Linked DNA regions of Arabidopsis thaliana. The protein of the gene in region 1 interacts with the protein of each later gene in a biochemical or structural test. Each region holds a gene or a part of one and is shown on either strand. Other genes may lie near its edges. The genes, in order: Hsp81.4, TOC64-III and TPR7.

The links.
Region 2: the proteins of Hsp81.4 (region 1) and TOC64-III form a complex in vitro, tested with the Arabidopsis thaliana proteins (one study listed by BioGRID).
Region 3: the proteins of Hsp81.4 (region 1) and TPR7 form a complex in vitro, tested with the Arabidopsis thaliana proteins (one study listed by BioGRID).

The regions. Positions count from the first base shown.
Region 1 is NC_003076.8:22,673,859-22,684,005, forward strand, and holds Hsp81.4 (HEAT SHOCK PROTEIN 81.4), read right to left. Parts: upstream 6,295-10,147; 5' UTR 6,210-6,294; coding exon 6,087-6,209; intron 5,828-6,086; coding exon 5,686-5,827; intron 5,579-5,685; coding exon 3,744-5,578; 3' UTR 3,480-3,743; downstream 1-3,479. Other genes in the region: HSP81-3 (heat shock protein 81-3), read left to right, coding at 7,552-7,674, 7,978-8,119, 8,219-10,053. UniProt on the Arabidopsis thaliana protein: Molecular chaperone which stabilizes unfolding protein intermediates and functions as a folding molecular chaperone that assists the non-covalent folding of proteins in an ATP-dependent manner.
Region 2 is NC_003074.8:6,142,645-6,154,216, reverse strand, and holds TOC64-III (translocon at the outer membrane of chloroplasts 64-III), read right to left. Parts: upstream 6,312-11,572; 5' UTR 6,188-6,311; coding exon 5,985-6,187; intron 5,435-5,984; coding exon 5,282-5,434; intron 5,149-5,281; coding exon 5,024-5,148; intron 4,671-5,023; coding exon 4,545-4,670; intron 4,358-4,544; coding exon 4,175-4,357; intron 4,092-4,174; coding exon 3,947-4,091; intron 3,868-3,946; coding exon 3,699-3,867; intron 3,595-3,698; coding exon 3,460-3,594; intron 3,317-3,459; coding exon 3,116-3,316; intron 3,015-3,115; coding exon 2,887-3,014; intron 2,801-2,886; coding exon 2,749-2,800; coding exon of another isoform or gene 2,686-2,748; exon of another isoform or gene 2,648-2,685; coding exon 2,578-2,647; intron 2,503-2,577; coding exon 2,423-2,502; 3' UTR 2,135-2,422; downstream 1-2,134. Other genes in the region: C2 (Calcium-dependent lipid-binding (CaLB domain) family protein), read right to left, coding at 1,102-1,392, 1,474-1,569, 1,654-1,800; AT3G17950 (uncharacterized protein), read right to left, coding at 7,048-7,614, 7,838-7,906; AT3G17940 (Galactose mutarotase-like superfamily protein), read left to right, coding at 8,973-9,090, 9,184-9,233, 9,476-9,602, 9,699-9,806, 9,888-10,510; DAC (uncharacterized protein), read left to right, coding at 10,971-11,067, 11,163-11,308, 11,398-11,487. UniProt on the Arabidopsis thaliana protein: Chaperone receptor mediating Hsp90-dependent protein targeting to chloroplasts. Bi-functional preprotein receptor acting on both sides of the membrane. Not essential for an efficient import of pre-proteins into plastids.
Region 3 is NC_003076.8:7,266,086-7,277,124, forward strand, and holds TPR7 (Tetratricopeptide repeat (TPR)-like superfamily protein), read left to right. Parts: upstream 1-6,985; 5' UTR 6,986-7,309; coding exon 7,310-7,405; intron 7,406-7,517; coding exon 7,518-7,748; intron 7,749-7,884; coding exon 7,885-7,941; intron 7,942-8,055; coding exon 8,056-8,184; intron 8,185-8,370; coding exon 8,371-8,448; intron 8,449-8,569; coding exon 8,570-8,640; intron 8,641-8,762; coding exon 8,763-8,812; intron 8,813-8,952; coding exon 8,953-9,100; intron 9,101-9,257; coding exon 9,258-9,771; intron 9,772-9,861; coding exon 9,862-10,005; intron 10,006-10,086; coding exon 10,087-10,233; 3' UTR 10,234-10,494; downstream 10,495-11,039. UniProt on the Arabidopsis thaliana protein: Plays a role in protein import into the endoplasmic reticulum (ER). May function as chaperone docking protein during post-translational protein translocation into the ER. Chaperone receptor mediating Hsp70-dependent protein targeting to chloroplasts.

The DNA.
Region 1 (10,147 bases):
CTCTGTGTTTTGGTTATTAGAGTTAGCTTTTAATATTAATTCAATGGATTTCTAGATTGCAAGCAAAACTAGTCATTTCATATGTGACTTGTAAGCAAAACTAGTCAAAACTGAGTGATGTCACCAGCCCTCCTAATGACGAGTTTTCCGAGATCAGCTCCACAAGAATCAACTTACATGATGACAAAAAGTGGATCTTCGATGAGACGCCATTAGAGAGAAGAGGAGATGATCTTACCAACAAGGGTATACGAAAGCAGAGCTTCGGGGGATGGTTGAGAAGCAGAGACATGAATAATGTTCTTCCAAAAAGAAGAAGAGGTGAGAAAAGGGAAAAAAAACCTAATTGAAGAATTAGCGATTTTCCCTCACCAAGAACCCTACATTAATACAAAAGGAAGTGACTTGCCAATCAAGTTTCCCATCCATTGTAGATGAGGGGAACATTGTGTTTGTAGTAAGGCAATGGAAGAATGACTCATTTATGCTTCAATGACTTCCATGTTCTTTCTTGAGGAGAAGGAAGACCATTCTTCTTGTTTTGCTACACAAGACTGAAATAAGAAACCTCTTCTAAAAGTTCTTCACGCTCCATGTAGACTATCTCTTTCTCCAAGGAGCGCTTTTCATTTAGAAAAAGCAACTTTTACTCTTCATCTTATCTTCGGCCATACTAGACGCAAACTCAACTTCAAGATCAAACAGTGCTTCTAAAGCCAACTCAACTCAATAGCCATACTTCATGCCGTCTCTTCAGCTTTTTTATCTTTCAAAGGAATATTTCATTAATATGATTTAGTTTTTATTTTATATACATCATTTTGACATATATATTTTTGAAAATTAATTTTATGCTTTAAACCACAAAAAAGTTTAAGTTTGGACCTTTCACATTTAGGTTTCAATTATTGTCTACATGTTTTCATAACTATATTCACACAAATAACTAAAATCTCCTCATAGAAAAAAGATTAATTGGTTTGAAAGAATAAAAAGAGTATAAAAGATTATTTTTCTATGGTTAAAAAATATGAGAGATTTGCCTTGGAAACGATAGTTAAAATTCAAAGAAACTAAGCTTGATATAACTACAAGTTTCGTACATAAAAATGTCGAAATTGTTAGATGTAATGAAGCCAACTTTAGCTTGAAGCCTCACCATGTAATGTTTTATCTCGCCGGAGAAAAAAAAATTCATTTATCGGTGAAATTAATTTATAAGACCAACTAAAACATCAAGCACATTAGATCTATTAATGATTGATTAATGTTAATGTGCTTTTAAAATTGAATAAAACACATGATCAATCATATTTTTAGCGTATAAAAAATAAATCATATAAACGAGATGGAAGACCATTCTTCTTGTTTTTCTTTACAAGACTGAAATAAGAAACTTCTTCTAAAAGTTCTTCACGCTCTATGTAGACTATCTCTTTCTCCAAGAAATATATACTACCAAACACTTTTCATTTTGAAAAAACAGTTTTTACTCTTCATCTTATCTTCAGCCATACTAGACACAAACTCAACTTCAAGATCAAATAATGCTTCTAAAAGCCAACTCAACCCAACAACCATACTTCACGCACTCTCTTCAGCTTTTTTCTCTTTCAATAAGAATATTTCATTAATATGATTTAGTTTTTATTTTTTATACATTATTTTTTACATGAATATTGTTTGAAAATCAATTTTATGCTTTAAACCACAAAAACTTTAAATTTGGACCTTTTACATTTGGGTTTCAATTATTGTCTACATGTTTTCATAACTATGCTCACACAAATAACTAAAATCTCCTCATAGGAAAAGATTAATTGGTTTGAAAGAATAAAAAGAGTATAAAAGATTATTTTTTATGGTTAAAAAAATATGAGAGATTTGCCTTGGAAACGATAGCTAAAATCCAAAGAAACTATGTTTGATTTAACTTCGAGCTTCGATCACAGAAATGTCGAAATTGTTAGATGTAATGAAGCTAACTTTAGTTTGAAGCATCACCATGTAATGTTTTATCTGGTCGGAGAGAATTTGTTTTTGTTTATCGGGGAAATTAATTTATAAGACCAACTAAAACATCAAGCTCATTCGATCTATTAATGATTGATTGATGTTAATGTGCTTTTAAAGTTGAATTAAACACATGATAATCATATTTTTAGCGATTTAAATATAAATCATATGTAAATAATTAATGAGAACTAATGATAATTGTTTTAAACAATTTATAGTCTTCAACATAAATATTAACTAAAAATGCTATTTAAAACAACTTTGTAGAAACTCTACAATAAAACAATTAATTCTCTTGTTTATTGTAAGGAAGAAAAATAATAGATTATAACTCTAAACTATATAAAATTAAAAAAAATTAGAAAAAACTACAAAAATTAGTATTTTAATTATTAAAATTCAAAAATAATTTCAACAAAATATCATGTAATAACATGTAAACTAGGTAAATACTTGTCTGTTGCACGGCAATATGCCATCACAGTTGTTTGTTATAGTTAATTTGGCTATTTCAAGCTATCATATATTAATATATTACGTAAGATGAGTATTTGTAAAGTTTTAAATTTATGGTTTATTTTGGAAAATTTTATCAACTGTGTATAGATAAACGTATACAACATTATATTATAATAGAATTCTATCATTACATATATTTTAATCATCTTATATATAGTTGTTTGTTACATATAGATAATTGTATATTTTCTATGGTACAGTATAATATAATTTGTATGTGTGTCAATCTTAGGTCCATGTGCCAAGAAATTGTTCTATATTATGTAACCAGGGGCGGAGGCAGTTATATAGGAGGGGGGTCAACTGACCCCCATGACATTTATAAAAAAACTTTTTTAAAGTTTATTCGATAAATCATTTGGCTTCAAATCTCTAATATGACCCCCATGCGTTGAGATGAAATCTCCTCTTTGCACCCTACGTCGTATTTTTTTTCTCTTTAATTCATTTAATGTTTTTACGATTTCATTATAATTACAAATTTTGTATCTGCATCTGATTCAATTAACCTGGAATTTGCATCTTTTTGCCAATTATTGTTTCAATTTTCTTATAATTATTTTATATATGGCTTTAAATTAAAAATAATATGGCTTAAGAAGCATAAATTAATCAATATACTAAAGAGATATTGAGAAAATAAGTTATATATATTTCATAAAAGTTTTTTTCTTACTATTATTTTTGATTAGTTTCAAAAATAGAAAACGATGAAAATGCTGAAGTTACATGTATATCTTTTACAAAAAAATAACTATATTATTTTCAAAACAACTATAATTAGTGGGGTTTATAGCAATAATGATATGTTTCTTAGCTTTCTTTTATTAAAAACATGTAATAGCAAAAATAATTTTTAAAAAGATCAGCAATAAAATTTATTTTAGTTAAATAAACACTAATATTGTTATATACTTACATTAATATATGACCACTGTATGTAACGGTTTTGTGTGAGATATGATTAGCGTAATTCTGGTTAGCAAAATATGGTCATAACTAAGTTATATGACCTGACAAAAAATCAGCTTGGATTTGCTAGAAACAGAGTTCCTTTCGCATAAAAAAATCTTTTTCATAAAACCGAGTTCAGAGAAAAAGCTTCAAGATAAGAAAGAAACTACAGCAGAAAAAAATTCTCAAAGATATGTAAAACGATAGAACCAAAACTCTTAACACCGCTAATATTAGTCGACTTTGTGCAATATTTAGTCGACTTCCTCCATCTTGCTACCTTCAGCATCAGCATCATCTTCAAGCGGAGGCATCTCAGCATCAGCTTCAACGGCATCATCCTCTTCAATGCTCAATCCAAGCTTCAACATCCTGTGGATTCTGCTTCCAAAAGTGTTGGGCTCATCAAGGCTGAAACCAGAGGTGAGAAGAGCGGTCTCAAAGAGAAGAAGCACAAGATCCTTCACAGACTTATCGTTCTTGTCCGCTTCAGCTCTCTTTCTCAGCTCATCCATGATCGAGTTCTCTGGGTTAATTTCCATTGTCTTCTTGCTTGACATGTAACCACCCGTGTTGCTATCCTTCAAAGCTTGAGCTTTCATGATCCTCTCCATGTTTGCAGTCCAGCCATACTCGCCTGTTACTAGACAGCAAGGTGAGTCCACCACACGGTCAGAGACGATAACCTTCTCGACCTTGTCTCCCAAAACGTCCTTAATCACTTTGCAGAGTCCCTCAAACTTCTCCTTGAGCTCTTCTTTCTTCTTCTTCTCGTCATCAGTCTCTTCCAGCTTCAGACCTTCCTTGGTTGCAGAGACAAGCTTCTTTCCCTCGAATTCCTTGAGCTGACCAATAGCATACTCATCAATAGCGTCAACCATGTAGAGGACTTCGTAACCCTTCTTCTTGAGCTTCTCTAGGAAGGGAGAGTTCTCCACGGCCTTTTTGCTCTCACCGGTGATGTAGAAGATCTCGTTCTGACCTTCCTTCATCCTTGTCACGTAGTCCTTGAGACTGGTCAATTCATCACCGCTCTTGGTTGAGTGGTAACGGAGCAACTCAGCAATCTTGGTTCTGTTTTGGGAGTCCTCGTGGATGCCGAGCTTCAGGTTTTTAGAGAAAGCCTCATAGAACTTGTTGTAGTCCTCCTTGTTCTCGGCAATCTCAAAGAAGAGCTCAAGACACTTCTTCACAAGGTTCTTGCGGATGACCTTGAGGATCTTGTTCTGCTGCAATGTTTCTCTTGAGATGTTGAGAGGAAGATCTTCAGAGTCAACGATACCCTTGACAAACCCAAGGTAATCAGGGATGATGTCTTCACAGTTGTCCATGATGAAGACACGACGGACATAGAGCTTGATGTTGTTGGGCTTCTTCTTAGTGTCAAAGAGATCGAAAGGAGCTCTCTTGGGAACAAAGAGGATAGCTTTGAACTCAAGCTGTCCTTCAACAGAGAAATGCTTCACAGCCAAATGCTCCTCCCAATCATTGCTCAAACTCTTGTAGAAAGCAGCGTACTCCTCCTTGTTGATCTCCTCTGGCTTCCTCATCCAGATAGGCTTCTGTTTGTTCACCAAATCCCACTCATGAGTAACCTCCTTAATCTTCTTCTTTTTCTTCTCCTCCTTTTCTTTCTCCTCATCAATTTCCTCAACCTTGCCTTCCTCATCCTTCTTCTCTTCCTCCTCTTCATCATCAGAGATCTCCTTCTCAATGGTCTTCTCAATCCAGAGAGAGATTGGGTAGCTGATGAACTCAGAGTGCTTCTTCACCAAATCCTTAAGCCTTCGCTCCTCAATGTACTCCATCTGGTCTTCCTTGAGGTAAAGGATCATCTTTGTTCCTCTACCAAGAGCCTCACCAGAGGTGTCTCTGGTCACCGTGAAAGATCCACCGGCCTGAGACTCCCACACATACTGCTCATCGTCGTTGTGCTTGGTAGTAACAACAACCTTGTCAGCAACCAAGTAAGCAGAGTAGAAACCAACACCAAATTGACCAATCATGCTAACATCAGCTCCAGCAGCCAATGCCTCCATGAACTCCTTGGTACCAGACCTTGCAATTGTTCCAAGGTTGTTCACCAAATCTGTACAATAGAACAAACACGAATCAGCAAACACAAATCAAACACATAGATAATGGTTTTGAATGAAATCAAGTACAACTTGCTTTTGAATGAAATCAATTACGTACCAGCCTTGGTCATCCCAATACCACTATCGATAATGGTCAAGGTGTTGTTAGTCTTGTCCGGAATGATATGAATGAAAAGCTCAGGCTGACCATCGAGCTTGCTCTTATCCGTCAAGGACTCGAACCTAATCTTGTCCAAAGCCTGTTTCACCAGAATAAAAAGCTCAATCATAAGTAACAAAATACACACAACATATATACAATCAAAAACTAAGTAATCTAACAAATTTGAACATGAAAAGGTTCCATCAATTAACAAACGAAAATCTCAAATCGAAAAGAACACTAAACCCTAATAAAACCTAAATCTACACATAGATCCGTCAAATCAATCGAAGGAGATACACAAACACATTAAGCTTAAAGATAAACATAGAAAGACAGAGAGGGAGAGATCGTACATCGGAGGAGTTACTGATGAGTTCACGGAGGAAGATCTCCTTGTTGGAGTAAAAGGTATTGATGATGAGGGAAAGCAACTGGTTGATCTCAGCTTGGAAAGCAAAGGTCTCTGCGTCCGCCATTATCGTTGATCGGGAAAAAAATCTAAGAATTAGGGTTTATGTGAATCAAAAAGCAAATTCTTAAGAGAAGCAGAGAAGTATTGATGGTTTGATTAAGGGGGAAAAGTGTGTAATATATAGGGGATGTGGAAACAGACGTCATAATATAATGGAAATTGTAAAATATAAAAATTGTCATAATATTTTACTTTCCTTTTTTTTGGAACAAGTGCTACTTACTTTTTTTTTTTTTTTTTTTGTTAAATTTTTCTATTAGCTAAACTAATCAATAAAAACAATGTTTTTCTCCATATACAAAATTCGATTTTGTTATGGATTTGAATTTACAAGTTCCCATTCATTCTAGTTTATCTATGTTTAGATTTTTTTAGATCGGTCCTAGTTTTGGGTTATTTTTTGAAATCGATAAAGTTAATCCCTTAGTTTCAAGATATCTCAAAATTTTATTTCAAATTTTAGTTATGTATTTAATTTATAACAACAAGATAAATAGTTGTGTTAAAAAAAAAAAAAAAGTTTTAATCAATTCTGAAGTTAAAAAAAAAAAATCAATTTTTTCTCCCCACAAACCCCACGCTTTTTAGAGAATATGTGTTTCTTTTTGTTATTGTTTTAATTTATTTATTTTACAACTTTCAATATTATTATTTAATTATTGATTTTTTTGAAACTTTATTAAAAGATACACATACCAATCTGTAAACAGGAAAAAAAAAGTTGTAAGCAAAAAATAAAATTATTGCTTTGTTTTTAAAATAGTAAATTATCATCAATAAAATAAAATAGTAAATTACAAAATTAACAAAAAAGGAAACTAAAACCTGTTACAAAAAAGTAGTAAATTACACCTGTTCTGCAAAATAAAAAGGGAGTAGAATTAAATCTGACTGTTTTTTATAAATAGTAAATTATCATCAACCAATAAAATAAAATAGTAAATTACAAAATTTAACCAAAAAAAAAAAGAAGTAAACTAAAACCTGTTACAAAAAGTAGTAAATTACACCTGTTCTCCAAAATAAAATAAAAGGGAATAAAATTTTAAAAAATTTAATAAAGTTTTGTATTTTTCTACCAAAAAATAGTTTTGTATTTTGTAATTTCCATTTAATTATATTGCAGATTATGTGGACCTGAAAAGCAAATTAACATAAATCAAATAGGAAGGATCTAGAAACCCTTATAGGTTCCCAGTCCCCACACCACTATATATAATAACATCCTTCCCCAAAGTCTCGTATCAATCAACACTTCTCTGCTCTCTAAAGAAAATTTTGCTCTCTTTATCTCTCGATTTGATTCATAAACCCTAGCTCTTAGATTTTTTTTCCGATCAACGAGAATGGCGGACGCAGAAACCTTTGCTTTCCAAGCTGAGATCAACCAGTTGCTCTCCCTCATCATCAATACCTTTTACTCTAACAAGGAGATCTTCCTTCGTGAACTCATCAGTAACTCTTCTGATGTACGATCTCTATCTCTCTACACCTTATTTTATACTTGTCTGTCTCGTTTGATTGATCTGGCTGTTCGATCTGTAGATTTAGGATTGATTAGGGTTTAGTGTTCTAGCCGATTTTAGAATTTTGGTTGGTAATTGAAGTTGCGAAGCTGTTTGTGTTCAAATCTGTTGATTAGTTTTAGTGTTGATACCAACGATTAAGCAGACTCTTGTTAGATTTACAAAGTTTGCTTATATGTAATTTGTATATACGTTCTGTGTATTGGTTGGTTACTTACGATTGTGATTTTACTCTGGTGAAAACAGGCTTTGGACAAGATTAGGTTTGAGTCCTTGACAGACAAGAGCAAGCTCGATGGTCAGCCAGAGCTCTTCATTCACATCATTCCCGACAAGACTAACAACACCTTGACGATTATCGATAGTGGTATTGGGATGACCAAGGCTGGTACGTAATTGATTTCAGTCAAAAGCAATTTGTATTGGTTTTCGTTGATTATTTATGTGTTTGGTGTGTTGGCTAATACGTTTTTGTTTTATTTTTCAGATCTGGTGAACAACCTTGGAACAATTGCAAGATCTGGAACCAAAGAATTCATGGAGGCGTTGGCTGCTGGAGCTGATGTTAGCATGATTGGACAGTTTGGTGTTGGTTTCTACTCTGCTTACTTGGTTGCTGACAAGGTTGTTGTTACTACCAAGCACAATGACGATGAGCAGTACGTGTGGGAGTCTCAGGCCGGTGGATCTTTCACCGTCACCAGAGACACCTCTGGTGAGGCTCTTGGTAGAGGAACTAAGATGGTCCTTTACCTCAAGGAAGACCAGATGGAGTACATTGAGGAGCGAAGGCTTAAGGATTTGGTGAAGAAGCACTCTGAGTTCATCAGCTACCCAATCTCTCTCTGGATTGAGAAGACCATTGAGAAGGAGATCTCTGATGATGAAGAGGAGGAAGAGAAGAAGGATGAGGAAGGCAAGGTTGAGGAAGTTGATGAGGAGAAAGAAAAGGAGGAGAAGAAAAAGAAGAAGATTAAGGAGGTTTCTCATGAGTGGGATTTGGTGAACAAGCAGAAACCGATTTGGATGAGGAAGCCAGAGGAGATCAACAAGGAGGAGTACGCTGCTTTCTACAAGAGTTTGAGCAATGACTGGGAAGAGCATTTGGCTGTGAAGCATTTCTCAGTTGAAGGACAGCTTGAGTTCAAAGCTATCCTCTTTGTTCCCAAGAGAGCTCCTTTTGATCTCTTTGACACTAAGAAGAAGCCCAACAACATCAAGCTCTATGTCCGTCGTGTCTTCATCATGGACAACTGTGAAGACATCATTCCTGAGTACCTTGGGTTTGTCAAGGGTATTGTTGACTCTGAAGATCTTCCTCTCAACATCTCAAGAGAAACATTGCAGCAGAACAAGATCCTCAAGGTCATCCGCAAGAACCTTGTGAAGAAGTGTCTTGAGCTCTTCTTTGAGATTGCTGAGAACAAGGAGGACTACAACAAGTTCTATGAGGCTTTCTCTAAGAACCTGAAGCTCGGTATCCATGAGGACTCCCAAAACAGAACCAAGATTGCTGAGTTGCTCCGTTACCACTCAACCAAGAGCGGTGATGAATTGACCAGTCTCAAGGACTACGTGACAAGGATGAAGGAAGGTCAGAACGATATCTTCTATATCACTGGTGAGAGCAAGAAGGCTGTTGAGAACTCTCCATTCCTTGAGAAGCTCAAGAAGAAGGGTATTGAAGTTCTCTACATGGTTGACGCTATCGATGAGTATGCTATTGGTCAGCTCAAGGAATTCGAAGGAAAGAAGCTTGTCTCTGCAACCAAGGAAGGTCTGAAACTGGATGAGACTGAAGACGAGAAGAAGAAGAAAGAAGAGCTCAAGGAGAAGTTTGAGGGACTCTGCAAAGTGATCAAGGACGTTTTGGGAGACAAGGTTGAGAAGGTTATCGTCTCTGACCGTGTTGTGGACTCACCCTGCTGTCTTGTAACAGGCGAGTATGGCTGGACTGCAAACATGGAGAGGATCATGAAAGCTCAAGCCTTGAGAGACAGCAGCATGGGTGGCTACATGTCGAGCAAGAAGACAATGGAGATTAACCCAGAGAACTCCATCATGGATGAGCTGAGAAAGAGAGCTGATGCAGACAAGAACGACAAGTCTGTGAAGGACCTTGTACTTCTTCTCTTTGAGACCGCTCTTCTCACTTCTGGTTTCAGCCTCGATGAGCCCAACACTTTCGGGAGCAGGATTCACAGGATGTTGAAGCTTGGATTGAGCATTGATGACGATGATGTTGTTGAAGCCGATGCTGACATGCCTCCACTTGAAGATGATGCCGATGCTGAAGGTAGCAAGATGGAGGAAGTTGACTAAATTATCACACACAGTCGACTTAATCATTAGGGGTGTTGAGACATTGGTTATCTTTTTATCTTTTTTTTTTATGTTTTCGTTTGAACTAATATTT
Region 2 (11,572 bases), on another chromosome or scaffold:
GTAATAATAATAAGCGTATTTTAGTTAATGTTGTGCTGTCACTCATTTTAAGTTATGGTTTATATATATTTTTAACTACATTTGCAATTGCATTTATATGCAATATATATGTTGACAGATTTTATTCTACAAATAAATCGTTGTTTTGGTAAAAAAATGTTGACTACTTTGGGGAGTTGGTGGAAGAGGAATCTCTAGATCGCTCATTGGGGAACGAGATTTGGGTCCCTTGGGATCTATCAAACTTTATACATAATTTAGAATATATCTCAATACTATCATACTACAGTCGAATCTTTTACTTTATTAAATAGAGAAAAATATCACATACTAGTACTACACTTCACTCTTGTCACGGTCGTTTGACACATTATTGTAAAGTCGCCGTGCCACTCATAGTAAAGGACAATTATGGCTCACGTGTTTTGTCGTTATAAAACCATGGTGCTTCACTCATTAGTGTACATCTGGATTCTCTTCACCTACCATCCCTTTTGTGGCTTCTGGCTTTTTCCCTTCGATATTTTATTCTTTCTTCATCATTATTCTTTATGACCTTAATTAGCGCTAATGTACAAGTAAATCTTGTTCACAAAAATTACATAAGTTGTGCTTCAGTAACGTACACATAAAACCTCCAATGTCAATGGTTTAAAAAAGGCCTATCGATGTCGATGGTAAATGGTAATATGCTGGTCTTTTTTTCACTTTTTACCTATAAACATTAGTACATCACATGTGTTAAAACAATCTACCATTCATAAGTATATGGAACGATAATTAAATAAATAAAATATCTGTATTAGTTGTTCGTGTAAATGCCTTATTTAAGGCATAGCTAGCCCAAATATACATACACATCAACAATACACCACATTTACATATCCACCACCACGACTCGACTTGGACTCGATCACCATATGGGAACAAAACTTCCCTCAACGTTCTTAATCCTTATATTTCCATGGATTAATACGTGTTTCTAGTTCACTATATCCTTCAAGATTGAAATTACTTGTTTTTTTCCATGCTGTTACTTGGTTTAGTTCAATTTGAAAGAAAACAACTCAAAGTAACGGTAAATAAGAAAAGAAAAAAGATTCATAGACCCTTGGAGCCAGGGAGGTCAATCCATTGAAGCTGAGCCTCGACCTCTCCGCATTCCACATGTCGCAATCTGAGAACGAGATCCTGGACGAGCTTGCCGTCGACCCAGGTGACACGTGACTCCTCGGCTAGACAGTTACGACGACTTGGCTTAACCGTGGTCACAATGGTTCCACTAGGAAGTCCATCGAGTTGCATCCTCAAAGCCTCAATATAGGGCTTTATCTCGAACTCAGCATCGCCCATCTTGTCGTCTTTGCTAAACATGTCGTGATCATACACCGTCTACATATAACATTATAGTTTTATCAATATAAACATCTTATGATAAGGAAATTAATGTATGTTTTAGTAAGTAAAAAGTACCAAGAGGACGGTAAGATTGGAGTCTGTGACGGAGAGAGTCAAATCTTCATTCCATTCTGGATTAACATCTTTGTTAATGACACGAGTCTTCAATTTCTGTAAGATTTAATATGATAATTTGAGAATGTTTTTGATGTAATGAAATTGCATGTGAAGTTGTAAAATGATGAATGGATTAACCTGTTTGCCCATCTTGACGACGACGTAAGGATCGCTGCTACTGATGTCACGGACGGCTAAATTGACGCCACGTTTGATACGGATTCTAAGGAGGCCCAAGAGATCGTCCATTAGTGAGCTTGTCCTCGCCGGACACGCCGTTGTCATTTCCTTTATTAATGTTCCTGATTATTTCTTCCTTACTCACTTTCTACAACCCTTTTTTTTTGTTAACGCTGCAACCAACACACGTTTAATTCTCGGGGAAAAGCACAACCGAGATAAAGAAAAAAGGTTAAACGAACCAACTCACCCGTGAAGATAATTCAAAGGTCTCTTTAGTTTCTTTCGTCAGATTTCGTTCCGTTCAAACTATCATCGCTAAATATTAGGGCAGGTCTCTTTGGTTTCTACTCCTCTTTTTTTCTGTTTATTTTTTTTGAGTCGTGGGGAGGAGATAACGTGCGAGAAAAGAAAATGATAAAGACAAGATAGTTAAAGACATGACCTTATTTTTGACGCTACGCTGACTAGAAGTCGACCGGGAATGCCGGTATCCGGTGTTTAAGATTAACATTACTTTTTGATATCCAATTTTAGAGAACGTTTAAAATAAACATCGGATATTATAATTTTCCATTCTCGGCGGACTTGCAAAAGGTATCTCTAGATAAAATGCCTAAATATCAGACGCAAAAGACAAGTGTTGACAAAATTGGCCTATACTCTTGGACAAATTCTAAGGAACAAACGTTTTCTCAATGATCGGTGAGGTACGGACAAAAGAAGCTCACTGGAATTTTCTCAGTCTCTCTGCTGAGAGAGACGCTCGTTTGTTGTTTGGTTCCAGCACAAGTGCGTATCTGAAATCTGCAGAGTTTATGTTATATTCTGCCAGATTCTACAAGGCGAAAAAACAATCAGATTATGTTCTTTAAAGCTTACCTTCTATGGCTCCCTTGCAATCGCCTAACATTTCTCTTGCGGTTCCTCTTCGTAAATAGGCTTTAACATTCTGAAAGAAATCAAAAACGATCTTTGTGTTGTGTGTTCTTACAAAGTAAAGAGTGTTTTTTTTTCAAGAGAAACCTGTTTCTGTGTTTTAATGAAAGTTACCTTCTTGTCGAGGGTGATGGCTTTGGTACAGTCTTCTTCGGCTTGAAGAAAGCTGTATGTAAATGATTTGTCAAGGCAATGCCACATAGAAAGATTTGCTCACTAAAAAGTATTTTTAAGGATCTGAGAAACATTTACCCTCCAAGTTCAAGATATGCAGCAGCTCTGTTACTGTAATAGGTAGCATTGTTGTCACTTAGCTTTATAGCTTCTGAGTATAGACCAATAGCTTTCTGCCATAGTTTCTCTTTGAACGCTTGGTTACCCTGGTTTACATAATCACGGGACACAAAGATATAATAACCACATTAGATTATGGATGATAATGCCATTAAGAAAATGAGACATGCAATGGATATTAATTGACCTTCTCTTTGGCAATCTCGGCTGACTCTTCTTTGGTGATAGCCTTTTTAGAAGATTTGGGATCGGTAACAATACTCGAGTACTCTTGCAAAGATGGATACATTGTCTGCACTGTATCTAGTAAAAAGCGGTCACCACCGTGTCTTCCTATGAAAGAAACTGAAATAGGGCATTTCTCATGATGTCCGAGTGGCACAGTCACCTGAATCATCAGCACGATAAATGTAAGACACATATACTGTGGATTGGTTTTGCTAACACTGACTGGTCAGTGGTTGCTTTTAACATGTGTGAGGGGAACTTTACTAGCATGGCAGGTGAGAGAGAGAAAGAGAGAGATTTAACCTGACAACATCCTGATATGCTAGCAATGCTAAGCAGACTTGAAGCTCGGTTTTGATAGTCTTCAGATGTTATCTCCTTGCTACCAAGTTTTGGAGGAACAGCTGGCAATGTTGGAATTACCAGAATGCCATCATCCTTGATACATAACGTTACAGAGTTGGGAACCATTAGAGATTAGTCAAGAGACATATAAACTAACTCGCTCAAGTTGTGGACATGTCATGGAAGAGCAGGAATACCTTGAGAAGTGAACCAATAGCCACTCGAGTCTCGTTTCTGATAGCATTCAGGTTCTCAGTCTCTTCATTGGTTAGTTCTGGGTTCTCACACACTTGTGATAAAATCACAGGATCAATGGCTGGCTTCACTGTGTTGATCCAATCCCCATGATTTTGAAGGAACTCGTGCCTACAATGCCAATATTGTTATAGAGTGTTCAAAACTAAGATATTTTCATCCTCTGTAGGTGAATAAACAATAGGCACACCTTTGAAGGAGCTGCATCACATTCGCCAGTAGTCTCGATGTTGAGACCTTCGTGTTAGCAATGGCTTTTGTCCTAGCGAACTCTTTCAAGCTAGGAACTTTAGTTTCAAAATAGGTCTCCAAGTTCTGATGCTTTAGCAATTGTCCTAAATATAAAACAAGATAATGCTATTATAATCAGAATTTCTAACAGAGACTGGAGGATCTTCAGGGAGAGTAAAGGGCATACTTCCAAAAAGCTTTTCAGCTGATTTGGTCACCACCTGGGTAATCCGATCCACAGGGATCTTTAACAGCTGAAAACAGTCATCAGCTAGTATGATTTGCCTTGGATTCCGTTGAGTGGCAAATGGAAGTTGCAAGAGTACATGGCCAACACGACGTAGGGTGTTTGGATCGCGGGCAAACCATCCTGAAGCCAAAATCTATTGATCAGAATCAACGTAATGCTCATTTAATGGTCCTAAATATAAATTAGTCATACGAACAAAGGCATCTAAATCTTGCAATGTGATTATACAACAATTGAAACCTAGCCTATATAAGATCCAAATCATTCCACCACAAACAGTATAATTCAAAGATTTATATATCCATACCAACAGAGTCAAGACTTGAAGATACTGGTATGATTCCGGTGTTTGAAATAGCCCCATAAGAAGATTTGAATCCAAGAACGCCACAGTATCCAGCAGGCACTCTTACCCCGCCAACTGTGTCGATGCCTGCAAAGATGCAAGTAATCAAAACTATACTCTGAAAACAATTGAAACCGAACCAACCAGTAGACAGTTGAAATTTTAGATACTGATAGGAGGAGCCAATGACAGACTACCATATAAATTATAAATCCGCATGGAACTATCTTACCATATAGCCATAAGAGTCTAAATCAAGCAATTCTATTAGATGCCAAATAAGTTTCTGCAATATAAATAAATTATCAATCGTTTCAGAAATTTTCTAAGGAAGATTATTGACCATGTTTTGAAAGTTTATGCAATGTTTTGTTTCTCAAAGATACGGTTATCTCATACCAAATTGTCCAAACAAGGAAAAAAGTAGCTACTGAACTCACCTAGAGCAAAATCCACAGCATTTGTTGCTACGGCTACAGCAGCTCCACTGCAAGCGCCACCAGGAATACGAGTAGGAGCTGCAGGATTTGTAGGTGAATCGTAATGCTTGTTTTCTCCACTAATACTGAAGAAAATGAAAACAGCCAAACAAAGGAATTAATATACTAACATCCTGATAAAATAAAAATTTCAACACTGGAATCACAATCTGAATCCTGATACAGGTAACAATTTAACATTATGAAACAGAGACAAACCTAAACGCAAACTCATCAACTACAGTTTTTCCAACACAAGTGGCTCCACCTTCAACGAGAGTTGAAACCACAGGAGATGTTGACGAAGCAGCTTCATGGGTCCTGACCCAGTCTGGATGACCAAATCCAGTCACATACCCTGTAATATCGAATCTGGAAAACAAATGAAAAGGAAAGAAAGAGTAAATTAGCTTTTCAAGAACTTCAAAAGTCAAAAGATCATAGAAGAGAATGAGAGATATACACAGATTAGATAAATAGTCAATCAACATGTTGAGACAGTTATAAGTAGGACTCCATGAATAAGTCGAGGTCAAACTTGGTGACGAATCTAAAACATACAAACACCTAGCAACAGAGATCAAACAGTAGAGCCTTCCAATGAACAGATTCAACAAGTATCGATTTGAAATGAGTTTGACAAAACTAGCAGACACACACACACACACACACACATTTGAATCTACAACAAACACAATTTTCAGTGAAACGGCTCAAAATCAATCAACCATACTTTCGAAAGCTCAGAATCAGACATGTAGTGCGCCGGAGAAGATTACGAGTCGAGTCAACGCAGATTCCAACATTTGTCAAACAAAATTTTGACTCTACCCAAGGAAAAAATCATTCAGCTAAACCCCCAAATATAGATATGATAAACATATGGGAGAAGAAAGGGGGAAACAAGTCAACGGAGACTCACACGTCGGAAACGGCAAAGGTTAGACCGGTGAGAGGATGAGGAGCTTTGGGAGGAGCAGGTTGCGGAGGGGGAAGAAGCATGAGTTTATCGATAAAAGCGCCGAAATCTTCACGGACGGTCTTCTTCAGCTTTTTGGTAAGCATAAGAATCCCAGCGAGACCTAAACCTAGAAGAACCCAGAGATTCGCAGCTTGAGACGCCATCGGTGACGTTTTTGTTCTAGCTGCTGCTGCTGCTGCTTAAGATAAGAGAGATAGACCCTAAGGAGAAGGACGCCAAAGAGTTTTTGTTTAGTGTGTTGCGTTCCCTTTGAGTTTTTATTCTTTTTCCTTCTTCCTTTTTTTAACATCACTCGAGGGTTTATTTTATTTTCGTTTTGTCAACAGTTTTTTATTCACGTTGTAAAACAAAAAATTAATTTTATTAATTGTTTCTTGTTTTTACAGTTTATTTTATTAATTCAATTGGTATAAAATATGGATACACATAACAAACATTTTGCCGTATTTTCGGTTTCTTGTGTGTGTCCACTTGTTCGATAATTTTGCTTCGTCGTTAGGAATCTTCTCCTCTTATGTTATGAGGATGATTTGTGGTTAATTGTTTTACTTTCAGAAATACTAGTGGAAAATTAACCACGAATGTGGCACACTCCTGGCCAGAATCATATTGTGTTTGCCTCAAAATCTGATTTGGTCAAATTATTGTCCAAAGACTGACTAGTATAAAGACGTATTGATGAAATAATTTGAAGCAAAAACTCAATATGATAGAACAACGTTTAGCATTTTAAATAAAAACTCTAATCAAGTGAACAACTCCATTTTACACCAAAAGCTGTGCATGTGTGCCATTCTATATGCTTATCTTTTACTATTGCCATTGTAATTAATCTCCTTCATAATTCTCCTTATCAATCATTATTATTTCTCAAATAATTACTTTGACAATGACTACATTCAACATGTTATATTTTCCACAAACAATGATTCCGATTCGACGAACAAAATACAAAAATTTAAGTCTAAATACAAATAAAAGACACACACATGAACCGACGTATTCATCCTCCACCACCGCTGCATATACCGGTTAAAGATACCGGAAATCTACAAAGGGACGTGGCTACCGGCGTTCCTTCTCCGGTAACCACTTCAGCTGAAGCCGGAGGAAGAACCCTTCCGTCAGCGAACAATGCCCGCTCCCCCATCACCGGCTGCTGATCTTGGTACCGTGCCACCACCGCATCCTCTAGCTCTGCCTCGGCGGAGTTGTAAACGGCTTCATCTCCAAACCTCCGTTCCACCTCTAGATACTCCCCGAGCGATGACCGCTTTGAATCTCCTGTTCCACGGTGGATTCCATTTCCGGCGGCGTCGTCATCGTCATCTCGGCAAAACCGCCACCATTTACGGCGGCGATGCGGCTCAGGCTCAGCCGAATTTGAAGGAGGACGCTTTCTCTGGTGGTTGCGTCTTGCATTGGAGCTAGAAGCTCGTGAGATTGCGACGGAAGGTGACACGTGGCGGCGTGAAGAGGCTCTAAATGGCATCGGCATAGTTGCAGTGAAACTAAATCCCATAAGCGTTCCAAGTGTGATGCTTCTGTCATGGAAGAACGATCCTGTTGACTAAATCCTCACATCACCAATAAAAAAACCAAATCAAGTTCTAACAAGTACATATATATGTTTCTGGGCAGTTCTGAAAACATAACCTTTGGAACTTTAAACTAGTTTTCTAATTAAAGGTTGATACTTTATAGCATAAAGCTTTATGGGTAGCTTAGAAAACACATGAAGAGCTTGATCTTTAATTAGATTATCTATTAAGTATAAGATTGCAGGAACTGACCTCAGTATCAAGATCGGAGGAAGAGACGGAGGAGATAGTTGGAGAAGATGGGACATGAGGATCTTGCATCTCTGTAATCGCTGGTTTCAAAGGGTTTGAAGATGTGGGAGATTGTGTCACTGAATTAAAACGAACGACGTCGGATTAGGGAGTTTCTTGATGAGAGGAAAAGGAAAGTGTTTTTGTGGATGGATAGGTGAAGAAGAAGAAAGTGACAAATGATTTGCTTTTTGAAATGATTGTGCTTCTTTAAGCTAAAGTCCTCTTGGCCATCTGTTACACTATTTCTTTCCATGTCTCAGAGAGCTTTGATATTTTTGATAAATTTGATTTAATTGTTTCTAGTTATGGGAATAATCAAAATCCTTTACAGAGACATTTTTTTTGTAAACTTTGGGTAAAAGCTGAGACATGTTGGATGGTAGCAAATTAAAATTTACGAAAAGAGGATAAATTACAACAAAGTAAGCTTTTATAGGTACTATTGATTTTTTCATAGGATACCTGAAAAAGGGTAGAGAAACTACATCTAAATTCACGCGAATACTCTGTTACGATCATGTATAGAGTTTTTTTTTGGGGTCAAACTGAATATGTTTAGAGTATATTTTATTTATTTTCTTGTTATCTGATGATATCTTTGTCTTTCTCTTATTGTCAAAAGCATATAATCCGACTTATCAAATTTTTTATTTTATAACTGACTAATCAAATATTTTTTTACTTAAAATATTATTGATAATTAGAAAATTAGATCCAAATTCTACATTTGTTCTTTTCTCTAATCTCTATAGTTTTGGATTTTAGTTGGTAACTTTTGAATTCCTGAAAGTAAATTTGGTAACTTTTGGGTAGTAATTTGATTTTCAAAAAGTTTAGAAATGCATTAAAGTGTAAAAAACGAAAAACAAAAACCCCCAAGATAAATAGTTTTTTGTTTGGGGGGTAAAAATGATAAATAGTTTGGGATGTGGATGACGTCAACATTGATCAGTTACGAGATTACGATTTTATAACTCTTTTAACCAAAGCTAATCACTTCACCCTCTGTTTTGTTTCTCCCCAATCAAAAATCTCAATCCCAATCACTTCGCTTCTAATCTTAAAGCCTTTAATTTAGTCTTCGAGCCCTCTAATGGCGGATCAGAGCAAAAACACTCCAGAGATCTTCGAGCTCAACAATGGCACCATGCAGGTCAAGATCTCAAACTACGGCACCACCATCACCTCTTTGTCTGTTCCCGACAAGAACGGTTTGTTCTCTTCTTCCTCCTTTCAATGATGATCTCTGTTTTGTCTCCAAATCCTAATCCTCTGATTATCGTCTTTGTTTTTCTTATTTGAAGGGAAACTGGGGGATGTAGTTCTCGGATTCGACTCGGTGGATCCATATGTGGTAATTTCTCTCGAATTCACCTAATCCTTGAACTGATCTCGACATAGATTCAATCAATCTGATCGAAACTCTAATCACTGCCTCTGGATCTCATGAATAGAGTCTGAATCATAATTTAAGAAATGTATATGGTCATTCATGTACCTTGTTGAATGACTTTGTGATGAACTATCAAAATAAGATGGACTTTGTAACAATGTTAATGAATATGTGTGTTTTATCTATGAATATGATTGTTACAGAAAGGGCTTGCACCATACTTTGGGTGCATTGTTGGTCGTGTGGCAAATCGGATCAAGGAGGGAAAATTCAGTCTCAATGGAGTTAACTACACTTTGCCTATCAACAAGCCTCCTAATAGTCTCCACGGTCTGTATAAACAATTCTCTTCTCTGTATACTTTCTCTATAACTTTCTGTGAACTAAATAGGATTTGGACCGTAAAATGTTACTCTATCTGTACAGGTGGTAACAAGGGTTTCGATAAGAAGATATGGGAAGTTGCAGGGCACAAGAGAGACGGCGAAAAACCTTTCATCACTTTCAAATATCACAGTGCCGATGGAGAAGAAGGTAATGACATATCCTTTCTCTAGCATTTGATTTCTGTGGGATTAGATTAGCTATATAATGTTTTGCGGTTCCCCTCCACAGGTTACCCTGGTGCGGTTTCTGTCACGGCGACATACACTCTCACGTCAGCCACGACAATGAGACTTGACATGGAAGCTGTTCCAGAGAACAAAGATACTCCCATCAACTTAGCTCAACATACATACTGGAACTTAGCAGGTCATGACTCAGGAAACATTCTAGACCATAAGATTCAGATATGGGGGTCTCATATCACGCCGGTTGACGAATACACAGTTCCTACAGGAGAGATCTTGCCTGTAAAGGGAACTCCTTTCGATTTCACTGAGGAGAAGCGGATAGGCGAGTCTATTGGAGAGGTTGGTATCGGATACGATCATAACTACGTGTTGGACTGTCCTGATCAAGAGAAGGAGGGGCTGAAACACGCAGCGAAGCTCAGTGATGCTGCTAGCTCAAGGGTACTGAACTTGTGGACCAATGTGCCGGGAATGCAGTTTTATACCGGGAACTATGTGAATGGAGTGGTTGGGAAAGGGAATGCGGTTTACGGGAAACATGCGGGTGTGTGCCTTGAGACGCAGGGATTCCCGAACGCGATTAACCAGTCGAATTTCCCGTCTGTTGTGGTTAAGGCTGGTGAGAAGTACAATCACACGATGCTGTTTGAGTTTTCAGCTTGAGTTTATAGATGGACGTTTTAGGTGTTAGATGATGGGAATAAAGGGCCGGTTCATTTGATTCACTGGGCTGGAAAAAGAGTGATTTTAATTTTATCTCTTTGGGGGAGAATAATAAAACCAAACTGTTTACATTATATTAAAGTTACTTTATTTTTTCATATCTTCTAAACATTTGGCCCATTTGTGAAATTGTGAATTGTGCAGCGAATGAATCTCCCATTGTTCACATGAACTTGGAAAAAAAGAGCAATTAGTGTATTTGAGTAATTCTGATGGCAATTATGTCTACACGCATGTCTTTTGGGCGGTGAGAAACACGCGCCACTAAAGAAGCAAAAGCCTATGGGCCCCAAAAAATATCAACCATCCATCTCTGTAATCTCTTCGTCCTCCCTTAAATTTTTGTTTCATTATTTTTTTCACTAGTAACCACGGCTTGTGTTGTGGCTTAAACACAGAAATGGCTTCTTTACCGTTCGGAGTTTCGAATCTATGCAGAAATCAGGAGGTTCTGTCTGCGTCTGTAAGGCTTCTTCCGGTTGGGCGACAAACCACAGGTTCTGTTCTCCCCCAATAATCGTTTTCGATAAAACTTAAGGATTTCAAGCTGAAGCGATTGTAAAACTCTCCTGTGTTTGTTGTGATGATGCAGGATTCGGAGCTGCGAAGAAAGTCTTATATAGATTCGAGGGACATAGATTGTCATCATCAGTAGAAAAGGGAGAGAAACAGAGAATGAGATGTAGAGTTAGCTCAAACTCTACTGAAACTGAAGACGATTCTGCTACAAAAACCAAGGTCTGCACTCCATCTCTTTGAATTTACATCATAATCTATCGTCGTAGTAGTCCTGAAGCAAACTCTGTTGTGAAATAATTTGGTTATAGACGACGCCGTTTGGTTACACGAGGAAGGATGTTATATTGATAGGAGTGGGAGTGACTGCACTTGGTATCGGGCTAGAGAGTGGACTTGAGGTAATTCTCATTATCTACATACTGATGATATCAAATGAATCTGTTATCTTTTTCTTTGTTCTTCTGAGTACTCATTTTGTGATAA
Region 3 (11,039 bases), about 15 Mb from region 1:
TAAAATTTCTTTCTGTTTTTGTGTAAGCAAGTATTAAAGTGCTTATTCTCTTGAAAGTAAGTCTCAAATTTTTATCCACCACAAAACATGGTATAAGAGATAAATTGTGTGTTTGTTTTTGTGTTTGTGTTTGATAATAATCTTAGAAGATGACTTCCAACAAAACAAAAAGGATTCTTATCACCACATAAGATTTTTCATTTTTGTTTTGATTGACTATAAATGGCCAAGGAAAATGAGGTTATGTAGAACTCAGGAAGAGGTTTGATAAATTTACTTTCTTTTTTGGGCATGGGGTATTTTGGGAATTTAAGGAAGAGAATCCATATGACACTAGTCTTCTGTTAAAAGCCTTTGTCTGCAAGTACAGTGGGGTCCACCTACATGAAGATCAACAAATGCTCATTTTAAATATTGTTTTTTATTAATTATTATTATATTTATATATATTGTACCGCTTTATATAAAAGTTTTGTTATTCGATATTTCGATTTAGTGACAAGAGAGATGCTACTCTGGTGTTACAAAAATTTACCGGTTATATATATTAATTTTTTCTCAAAGAAGATATCAGGATAAAATTCGTCAAAAGCTTAAACGACGGTTAAGATTTTGGTTGGTGACATGCAAAATCATTGTTTGATGCTAGCTAGTTATAATTATACTATACTAATTCATTATCGTTGATTGGCTTTTTGTTACTTTCATTCTGTTCATTACACATTATCCGTTTACTCCGAAAACAAAACAATGGTCTACTTTCATACGAGATTTGATCAAACTAGTCAAACCTTTACAAAACTGAAAATTTGGCTTGATCTTGATTCATGCCTAGCTAACAGCCATGATCTTATAAGAATGATATTTTATATTATTAGTAATAATTTAGTACAAATGTTTAAGGAAACTAAAATACATATAACGAAGAAACGCAAGTAAATCGACTATCAGAAATGAAAAAGTGGGTCAAAAAATAATAATTTGAGCTTTATTTGACTAAAAGACAGCCAATTATCTAATTGTATTATTTTTGATCAAATGCACGCAGAATTGTAGTAGTAGTAATGTATTTCACACTAAAAAGGGTTGTTGTTGTTGCACACTAGAGAGATTGACATCACGAGAGTATGAGAGAGGGAGAAGGTATGGTGAAAATGTGTCTGCAAGCAATACAGTGGGGAAATAACGCCATAAATAGTCCAAATTCGAGGTTTCTTTCAAATTCAACTATATCCCCCTTTCATTGTCAATACTATATAATTAATACGGCTCTTTTTCAATTTTACTTTCACACTCTAACTGTTCAAGTGGTAACTAGCTAGTATTCATCATGTGAAGTCGCCCAACAAAATGTATAATTGCTAGGCAAAATTGATAATATATCGGTGAAAGTTCAAATTACAGATTTGGCTGAATTATACAAGTCATCCAATACAAATTACATGTTCAGTGTGATGATCATTACCTTTTTTTGTGTCTTTAAGAACAAATTCAGCCACTTTGTATCTTGCAACGGCGTTGCTTTGTTCTTTACTAACAATCGGGTTAGCGACTGATCATACAAAGGAAGTCAATGGAGCTAACATGGTTAGTAATCTACTAATCTTCTACCACTTATTTGACGTCAAAACTACCACTATTTTTTTCGATAAAATCCACTTATTAATCGACCGCACCAACCACATATCATTCAAAAGCTATTCTGAATTCAGAAAACTTTATAGTAATTTTTCGTGTGGGTCGATAATTAAATTCGATGTCTAATAACTACATATGGGCCACCGGTAAAGTCAAATTAAAAGAATTGCGGCTTAAAATGATTTGCAAGTGTGAAATTTTTTCTTTTCTTTTACAATATTTGTTTTGTGTCAAAGAGTATTAGGCTTCTTTTACGATATTTTGATTTATATATCTGCGTATATTACCCTGAAGAGTGAGTGAGTGACAGAGGTATGGACACTGTTACCCAGTTTGTTTACTCCTTTATTTTCCCTTTGGCAGAGATTTCTCAGACTTCAGTGACAGACAGTGAAAGTAATTTCTGCATTACATACAAATATATAACATTATTATACCAGTGTCGCATTTTTTTATCATAGTCCATTTTCATGATTTTTTTTTACTTAACTTGTTCTCTCATCAGGGGAAAACAATATATATATTATTATTTTCAAACAGTAATATTATATATAGCCTTTTCACCACCATCCAATTAATCTTGCTGTTTAGATAAATAACTAAAACTATGTTTAATCGAATTTCTTACATATTTACTCTTCTATATATATAGATAAATAAACAAGAAAAAGTATATATCTTTAAGGTACGGTAACATTTTACAATTGACGTATATAGTAATTCGGTCCTTTGACCTAGGAACACATCAGTGATTTAAAACCACTGATTACACCATCATCATTCAAACACTTTCTATTTATATCACCCGAGACATGTGCCCCCATGCATCTCTCCGACTCCGACCGACGTTGGTTCTGCTACTGAGTCCACCAACATTCAATCATCGTTATTGTTTCAATAATCGATTTACAAAAGTTTAAAATTGAATTACCATGCCTTTAATTGTGTTGATGCTTGATGCATAATATGAGTCAAATTGACAGCTTTATGATTTAGCGATTTCTGATTTATCAAACATGTTTTGATAGAACGCACACTTGTTAATAACGTTTTAAATCGTATAGAATTTTATTTAATTATCAATAAATTAAAAAGGGTTGCATGAAATGAATATCAGCTTATTGTATTATAAAGGTAATTTTGACAAACATTTCAATTTTCTATATTGAAAGTGAAAAAGAAACCAATAATACAGATTAATTAGGTTATGTTATGGAACAAAGATAGAGTCAACGCTATATAGAGTAAAGAGTCGAAAGAAAAAAGAGTTTGGTTGTCGTTGGTAAAACTTGTATGTGAGAGTCAATAATTACTGCTTAAGAAAAAATATAGATGCTATACTTTTCTAGTGAAACTTCATAATTTTCTTTACATAATATCAAGGATTTTTGTTTCTGCGATTTATTTGTAAATTGTTCTTAATAAAATAAATAAATACTAACTTAACATTTCAAATTACTAAAAATCACTAAATATCTATATAAATCACAAATCAATAACATTTTTAATCTTTCACATGAAGTAGAGTTTATTTCTCCATGCCATATTATAATTATATGATGATACATAGTTTTTAGTAGAGAGGGTGGATCAAACATGAAATTATTTTACAATTCTCATAGTCCGTTAAAAAGATCGCCAGTCAAGTAGAATAAACACTTTAACAAAAAAAAAAGGTAGAATAAACACAAAATTGTCTATCTTCCCACTTTCTCAGCAGTAGGTGAGACAATTTCTTCCTTCGTAGTCAAATATTTTCAATAATTTTTTTGAAGTTCCACCAATTATATATATCTATATCAAAAACAAATTCTTTTTCTGTATAATTCCATTCTTTGTTTAATAATTTGTTTTTGTCAAAGACGATATATGTTGATTTAACGTCGTATTGGAAGAAAAAAAAGTAGTCTCGTTTCTTTTTTATTTTATTTTTGATATGAGATTTCTCTAAACTCTATAATTTTCAATCTGCTTCCTTTTTCCATTTGGAAATAATTGCTGTTCTCTAATTTATGGATTATTGTATGCATGCACATGCGCTTCGATATTTATCATTTAGTTGTCAAATTTGGACCACCCTACTTCCTCCGTGTATTTATTCACTTTTAATAAACATGTTGTCATTATAAAGATTTTTTATATAACATTTTCATTTTCATATACCAATGCAAAATATGTAATGTCGTCGGGTATAAGTATAAAGGTTTTTGTGAAAACTATCTCTTGTTCTAAAAGTTTATTTTGATTTATCTATTATTAGAGAGGTAAACACTTAACTTTTATATATATAGTACATGATTATTTTAAATTCCATATGTGTTAACGTATATAGGTATGTGAAATTAAATCAATCTATTGTATAAACGTACATAAATTGGTTATTTCTCCCAAAAGTGTTAAAAACATCGCACCATGACATGAGATACAATATTTGAAAAGTAAAGGATACTCGCTAAAAGAAGTGTAAGCAAAATTTTAAATATATATAGAAAAGTACACATGACAACAAAAACGAATCATAATTAAAGTTGAGAAAAGTAAAACTGAATCTGATAACATGCTAAACTTGTTTTAAAACGAGGAAAAAGAAACAAGATAAAATAAGCAGATAAAGACGAGAGATGTGAACCGTGAAGAAGTGGATAAAGATGCAAATAATTTTGGTTTTAGTTTTGTTGAGAGACCACCAATTCCACCAATCAGAGCCTTTTCTGTTGGATTCCGTTCACACCAATGCCCAAGCGAATATATTTTTTTTGGTCGTCACAAATCTAAATCATTGCATTTCTCATGAGGAAGAAATGCATTGATAAATCTGTAACTAACCTGTAACCAAGAAACAATTTGCTAAACACATCAGCATGCATCAGAAATTCGGCATTTGTAATTGTAGTCGCTAACTTGCTGTATATACAGAAACAAAATACTTAGAAATTAAGCTTTTACCTCTTCAGTGTCAAGACGCACCAAGTATGACGCCATGTCGATCTTTCCCTTCTTCGTGAACCAAACTTATCAAATATTTATTATCTGATTCAATATGACACTTGATAAACGTCACTCAGTTTATGAAACTTGCTAGTCTAGAAAGTAGAAAGTATTGCATAACGACATTATACAAATTGTTTCGAAGTCACTACATAGTTTACTTCCGTCAAATCTGTAAATTGCCATGAGTTTGTTCACAAGTATCATATTAGTAATACATATTAGAAATACAGGATCAGAGGACACAAAAGCTCTAACCAGTTATACAAATCCGGTATCAGAGAGCACTAGGAAACGAAAAATTAAAGGCTAAAATTATGCAATTTTTAAAATTCTAACAACCTTCATTCACCAAAAGATTTCCAAAACTGAAATCACCATAGAATCTTCAAAATCTAGTCTTCAGAATAAGAGTACAGTCTACAAGCGAAGAAAAAAAAAAAACTTCTTTGCACATTTGTAAACAAAAAGTTAGGCTAGTAAGCAACCATTCAAATGGTAAATGTTACCAAATTACCAATCAAGTCCACAGAACATACACACAAAAACGAAAGACCGGATTGATGGGTTAATGGAGGAAGGTGGGGGCTGACCGGCTGAGAAGTGATGTGACGGATCCTAATAAGAACAGCAATCGTACACAACTTGCTGCTGTGAAAGAGAGAAAGAGAAGTACCAGTGACAAGTGGCATGCCACGTGGGCCGGCGGTTTAGGACCCAATCAGAGTGAAACTGCCACGTGAGATCCTCTCCACGTCCCGACAACCATCAAAATTCAAAGCCTTCTTCTTTCTGTTTCCTCCATCATGCTCTTTAACTCATTTTTTCCCTAGCATATCAATTTTAAAAAAATAGTTTGCAATTTACGGCAATAAAATGTGGGCAACAAAAACAAAACTGAATATTTACATTCGTTTTCATTGTACAATAGAGGGTACATTCAAAAAATACAACTCACTCATTATCCTAGATTGCTTTGCCATATAATAGTAGAATACGTAAGAATGTGTCTACGATGTATTCTAAAGGATAACAAGGGCTATGTGAATTATAAAATCAAGGCTATATATGTGTATGCATATTTTGGTTCGTGTAAACATGTTAAAAAGTTGCTTTGTTGTAATCTATTTAGAAGCACATGCATGTTGTAATCTAGCTTCGAGAGATGTTGCACAACATGTATCAGAATGCTTTAGCAATATTGCTTTATTAATTATAAGTTGAAGATATTGTTTCCTTCTTGTTTGTTATATGATATAACTTTATTAATCCATTGGTTTCATTGTGACCAAGAAGAAGAGGTTTGCTAGAATTTCCTCGTTCTCGCTGCAATAGTACTTAGTGATTAGTTAATTGATAATCATAAATCATATCAACATTCACTTCTCTCAGACTGCTATCATTTAGTGAATCATAATCTCTGCTAATATTGAAAAATTGGGAGACGAGAGATAGATGAGAGTTGTAGCTAGCTTTAGTCAAAGTGGTCCTCTTCTAATGTGACTATACCACCGTTTCCATTCTTTCAAACATTGAAACATTTATGCTGCGGTGGAGAGAAATAAACATTTCAGAAAAATTAATTGATAGATGTACTCGTCGATGAAACTATATCGAAACAATATTGAAAAAAGTATTACCAAACACAACTTATATGTCACTAAAACTCGTCTTTTTTCTTTGTATGGTCAAAACACTAAAACTCGTTCAACAACTGAAAAGATTGTCGTATTGAAATAAAATTCTTTGCCCGAATAGTTGTACATATGTATTTTTTTGTTAAGATCATTTTGATATTTAAGATACTAAAAATTCTGCAGAAGACATGCATATTTTAAAGTTTAATAAATGGATTACTTTAGAGATTGAGTCTATGAAACTGAATACTAAACATTTTTGGATTCCAACAAATATATTATGGCTCTGAATGGTAATCAAAACCGCACTTAAAACCGCACCGCAACAGTACTGTAACAGTATTAAAATCTCTACATATTCATATGTATCTATATATTTTCGTTACTATTTGAACCGCACCGTACTTCTCCCGCACCGCAAAACGCAATCACCATTCGGAGCTTATATCATGGAGATGTAGCTGGGCAAACATATGATATCGATATCCAGACCCTAAAGAATTTTAAAATATCAAAAAATTATTTGTACCCTCAAACAAATTTAAATTGAATTTTATTGACACTTTAACACGTGTAACAGTTAAATTGGACGACTCTTTCTAAAACGAAATAAAAAAGAGTTTAACAAGAGATTCGTTTCAGTTTAAGAAGAAAAAAAACACGAGATTAGTCTTCCAACATGGACAAGGACATGACAATTTGCACGTAATCATATAGTTACGTTAATCAATACAATTACGTAAATTAATTTATTATGGCACGTCACAGCATCATCGTAGATCAAGGGTAAAACAGTCATTCTCCATCATCCAGGCATATTCCGGTCGGTGAATTGAGGAGGTTGAGCGATAAATTTTCCAATTCGATTCTATATTATTGGAAACTACTTTCGGGTCGGCAAAACAATTCTCCTTCGATTTTCCGATTCTCACAAACTCAATCTCGATCCAGATTCCGAGCTTATCCTTCTCTGGCGAATTTCGATTTTCTGTGTTTCCGATCTGATTACAGAGAACCACATCGAAGCTTCGAGAAAAAAAAACACGATGTTTAACGGGTTAATGGATCCTGAGATGATTCGGCTCGCTCAAGATCAGATGAGTCGTATGACTCCTGCTGATTTCGCTAGGATCCAACAACAGGTTTCGTTATTTTTCCTGATTCGAATTATTCGATCGATTCTGAGGAGAATTTGTTTGATTTGATTTGATTATGGCTTTGTATGATGAATTTATACCATTGTTTATTATACAGATGATGTCAAATCCAGATTTGATGAATATGGCAACAGAGAGTATGAAGAACATGAGGCCTGAAGATTTGAAACAAGCTGCGGAACAGCTTAAGCATACTCGGCCTGAAGATATGGCTGAGATTAGCGAGAAGATGGCTAAAGCTTCCCCTGAAGATATTGCAGCTATGCGTGCTCATGCTGATGCTCAATTTACTTATCAGATCAATGCAGCTCAGATGCTTAAAAAACAGGTAACAATTGACTTCCTGAGAGAAGTTTTCTATTGAATTTTGCTTTCCTGATTATAAAGTAAGGAACAAGAATGGCTTCAGCAAGTGGACCTTTGTGTAATTTGATGTTAATCTCATTTTCTACTACGTTTGGCAGGGAAACGAGCTTCATAGCCGAGGAAATTTCAGCGATGCCGCAGAGAAATACTTGCGTGTAAGTCTGCAGACGTATCTCATTTGTCATGCTACTTGACAAGAAGAGTTTTATTTGTAACCTGATATGCGATTCTTTTCTACTTGTTTACAATGCTCTTGGACCATATCTCAGGCGAAGAACAATCTGAAAGAGATTCCATCTTCTAAAGGTGGAGCAATTTTGTTGGCTTGTTCTCTCAATCTAATGTCGTGTTATTTGAAGACGAATCAGCATGAAGAGTGCATAAAGGAAGGTTCTGAGGTATATTCTTTATGCTCTTAATTTTCTGAAAACTCATAGATGAAAACATTTTTAGGAAAAAGAGAGATGGCAATCTTTTGGCTTCTTTTTTGTAGATGTAACACATGATGTCATACAGCGTTTTATGATCTATTCAAAACTGTTTCGACATTCTTCTGATAAATTTACATTCTTACATTATTTCAGGTTTTGGGATATGATGCAAGGAATGTCAAAGCCCTATACAGAAGGGGTCAAGCTTACAGAGATTTGGGCTTGTTTGAAGTGAGTTCTTCTGTTGCTTATGGAACTTTCTTGAGATTCCTTGTCGATATATATGTTTGTACTGTAGATATGTCCTGACTATATGTTTGCTCAATGCTCATTCACTCTCTTAAACTATAAGGATGCCGTCTCTGATCTAAGCAAGGCCCATGAAGTTTCCCCAGAAGATGAGACAATTGCCGATGTGTTAAGGTATGGATTTTTATATTCATTACTGGTAATGTCATACTTTTCAGTTCTGCTTATCTCAGAGGTTTTGATATTAACATTGAAAAAATAACTTTTGACTTGAAGTATTATCTTTTCTGATGCAGAGATGTTAAGGAAAGATTGGCTGTCGAGGGACCTGGCAAGGCATCAAGAGGTATAATATTATTCCTTATGATTTATTCGAAAGAATTCAGTGTATTATGTCAGACCAGACGTTTCTTTACTACATCAATGATATGCTTCGTCCATGAATATGGAAACGAACTGAAAAATGTTATGTTGTTTGGTTATTAGGTGTGGTGATTGAAGACATAACTGAAGAAAATAATGTTACTTCCGGAGAGAATAAAAAACCGTCAAAAGAGGCTAATGGTCATGCTCAGGGCGTAAAGACTGATGTTGATGGATTGCAAGCTCTCAGAGATAATCCAGAAGCAATCAGGTTCGACACCTTTCCAAACATTAGTGTTTGATGTGTTGTTTCATCTTTTTGTCTCCTAATCTTGAAGACAAATATAATCTAAAGCATCCTTTTTCTGCTACATTTGGCACGATTAGTATGATTTTCTAATTGTTTTTATTCTTTCTATGGCCTGCAGAACTTTCCAGAATTTCATTTCAAAAACTGATCCCGATACACTTGCTGCTCTAAGCGGAGGCAAAGCTGGAGACATGTCACCGGACATGTTCAAAACTGCGTCAAGTATGATAGGCAAAATGTCACCTGAAGAGATTCAAAAAATGGTTCAAACAGCCTCTTCGTTTAAAGGAGATAACCCTTTCGCCCCGACTGCGCCATCTACCGAAAACGGTTTTACACCCACACCTGACATGCTTAAACTTGCATCTGATATGATGGGTAAGATGTCACCAGAAGAGCGTGAGAGGATGTTTAACATGGCATCGTCTTTGAAAGCAAACGCTCCAGCTTCAACATCATACGGCAATGCAGAAGCATCTGAACCACGGGAAAGTTTAGGAGCGAGTGGGAGTTCTTCGGGAAATTCCTTTGTGGCTCCAAGAAGCGGTTTCGAACCAAGCATCCCTTCTGCTCCGCCTGCTGACTTACAGGAACAGATGAGAAACCAAATGAAAGATCCAGCGATGCGACAGGTTTGATCATTTTCGGTTTATGTTTTACCAATTTAGTCAACATAATGTGATTGTTGATGTTCATATAGTAGTTTCTCTGTATATTGGTAGATGTTCACGTCTATGATAAAGAACATGAACCCTGAGATGATGGCTAGCATGAGCGAACAATTTGGAATGAAGCTTTCTCAAGAAGACGCTGCAAAAGCTCAGCAAGCCATGGCTTCTCTTTCTCCCGACGCCTTGGAGAAAATGGTACGAATTCGGTTTAGTAAAACCAAAAGAACATTCAAAGTTGATTGTATAGTTGTCTCAATTGTAAACACGTTGTTGCAGATGCGATGGGCGGATCGGGCTCAAACCGGGATGGAGAAAGCGAAGAAAGCAAAGAAGTGGTTGTTCGGAAAAGGCGGATTGATCTTTGCAATATTAATGCTCGTTTTAGCAATGGTCCTTCACCGTCTCGGCTATATTGGAAACTAGAGGAAACAACGGTATCTTAAGGCTTAATCCTTCGTGAAGATAAAACCAGTCTTCGGTGGGTTCGTTTAGTTTGTAAAACTGTAACATCGTTTTATCTTCTTTTTCTTTCCTCTAACTCTCAGCTTTTTGTTAGTCCACTTGTGTCTAAATTTCTTTACACTTTCTTCTGTAGTGAATTTTAAATTAGAGAAAATACGAATATTTCCTTATATTCGTTATTTTATAAACATAATTATGCTTCTGGTAGAGCGCCTCTACAAGAAAATTGGTTATTTGCGTTGGGAGATTCTTTTAGCAAATAGAAAAGACCATTTCTAATGGTTGTCTCTATTTTTCTTTATAAATATAGAAGGAAAAATAGAGATTTTTATTTTCTATTTTTATATATAGAGAAAAAAAATAAAGATCTCTATAATAGAGGTAAGAATAAAGATGAGTTAGAGTAAAATAGAGGCAAAAATAAAGTTTAAAGACAAAAATAAAGATGAGTTGGAGATGTTCTAAAGAGAAAAGTTCGAGTAAAAAATTTTTTTTTCGCAATCCAACGTTTGCAAATTTTGCGAGGAGAAATTTTGAAATAAGTATATAAAATCATCTTAAACTTTATTAAATTCATAGATATTAAAAAAATAAAAAAACTTCATTAAATTTTAAATTATATTTTTTTTTGTGCACCCAAAATTTAGATAATTTAATTATTTTAATATACGACTGAATACACATTCTTCAAAAGTAAAAAATAAAGAAAAAACTTAGAAGGATGAAGTACAAGAGAAGGAAACACGTGTCTTAATCTGGGGCCCAGC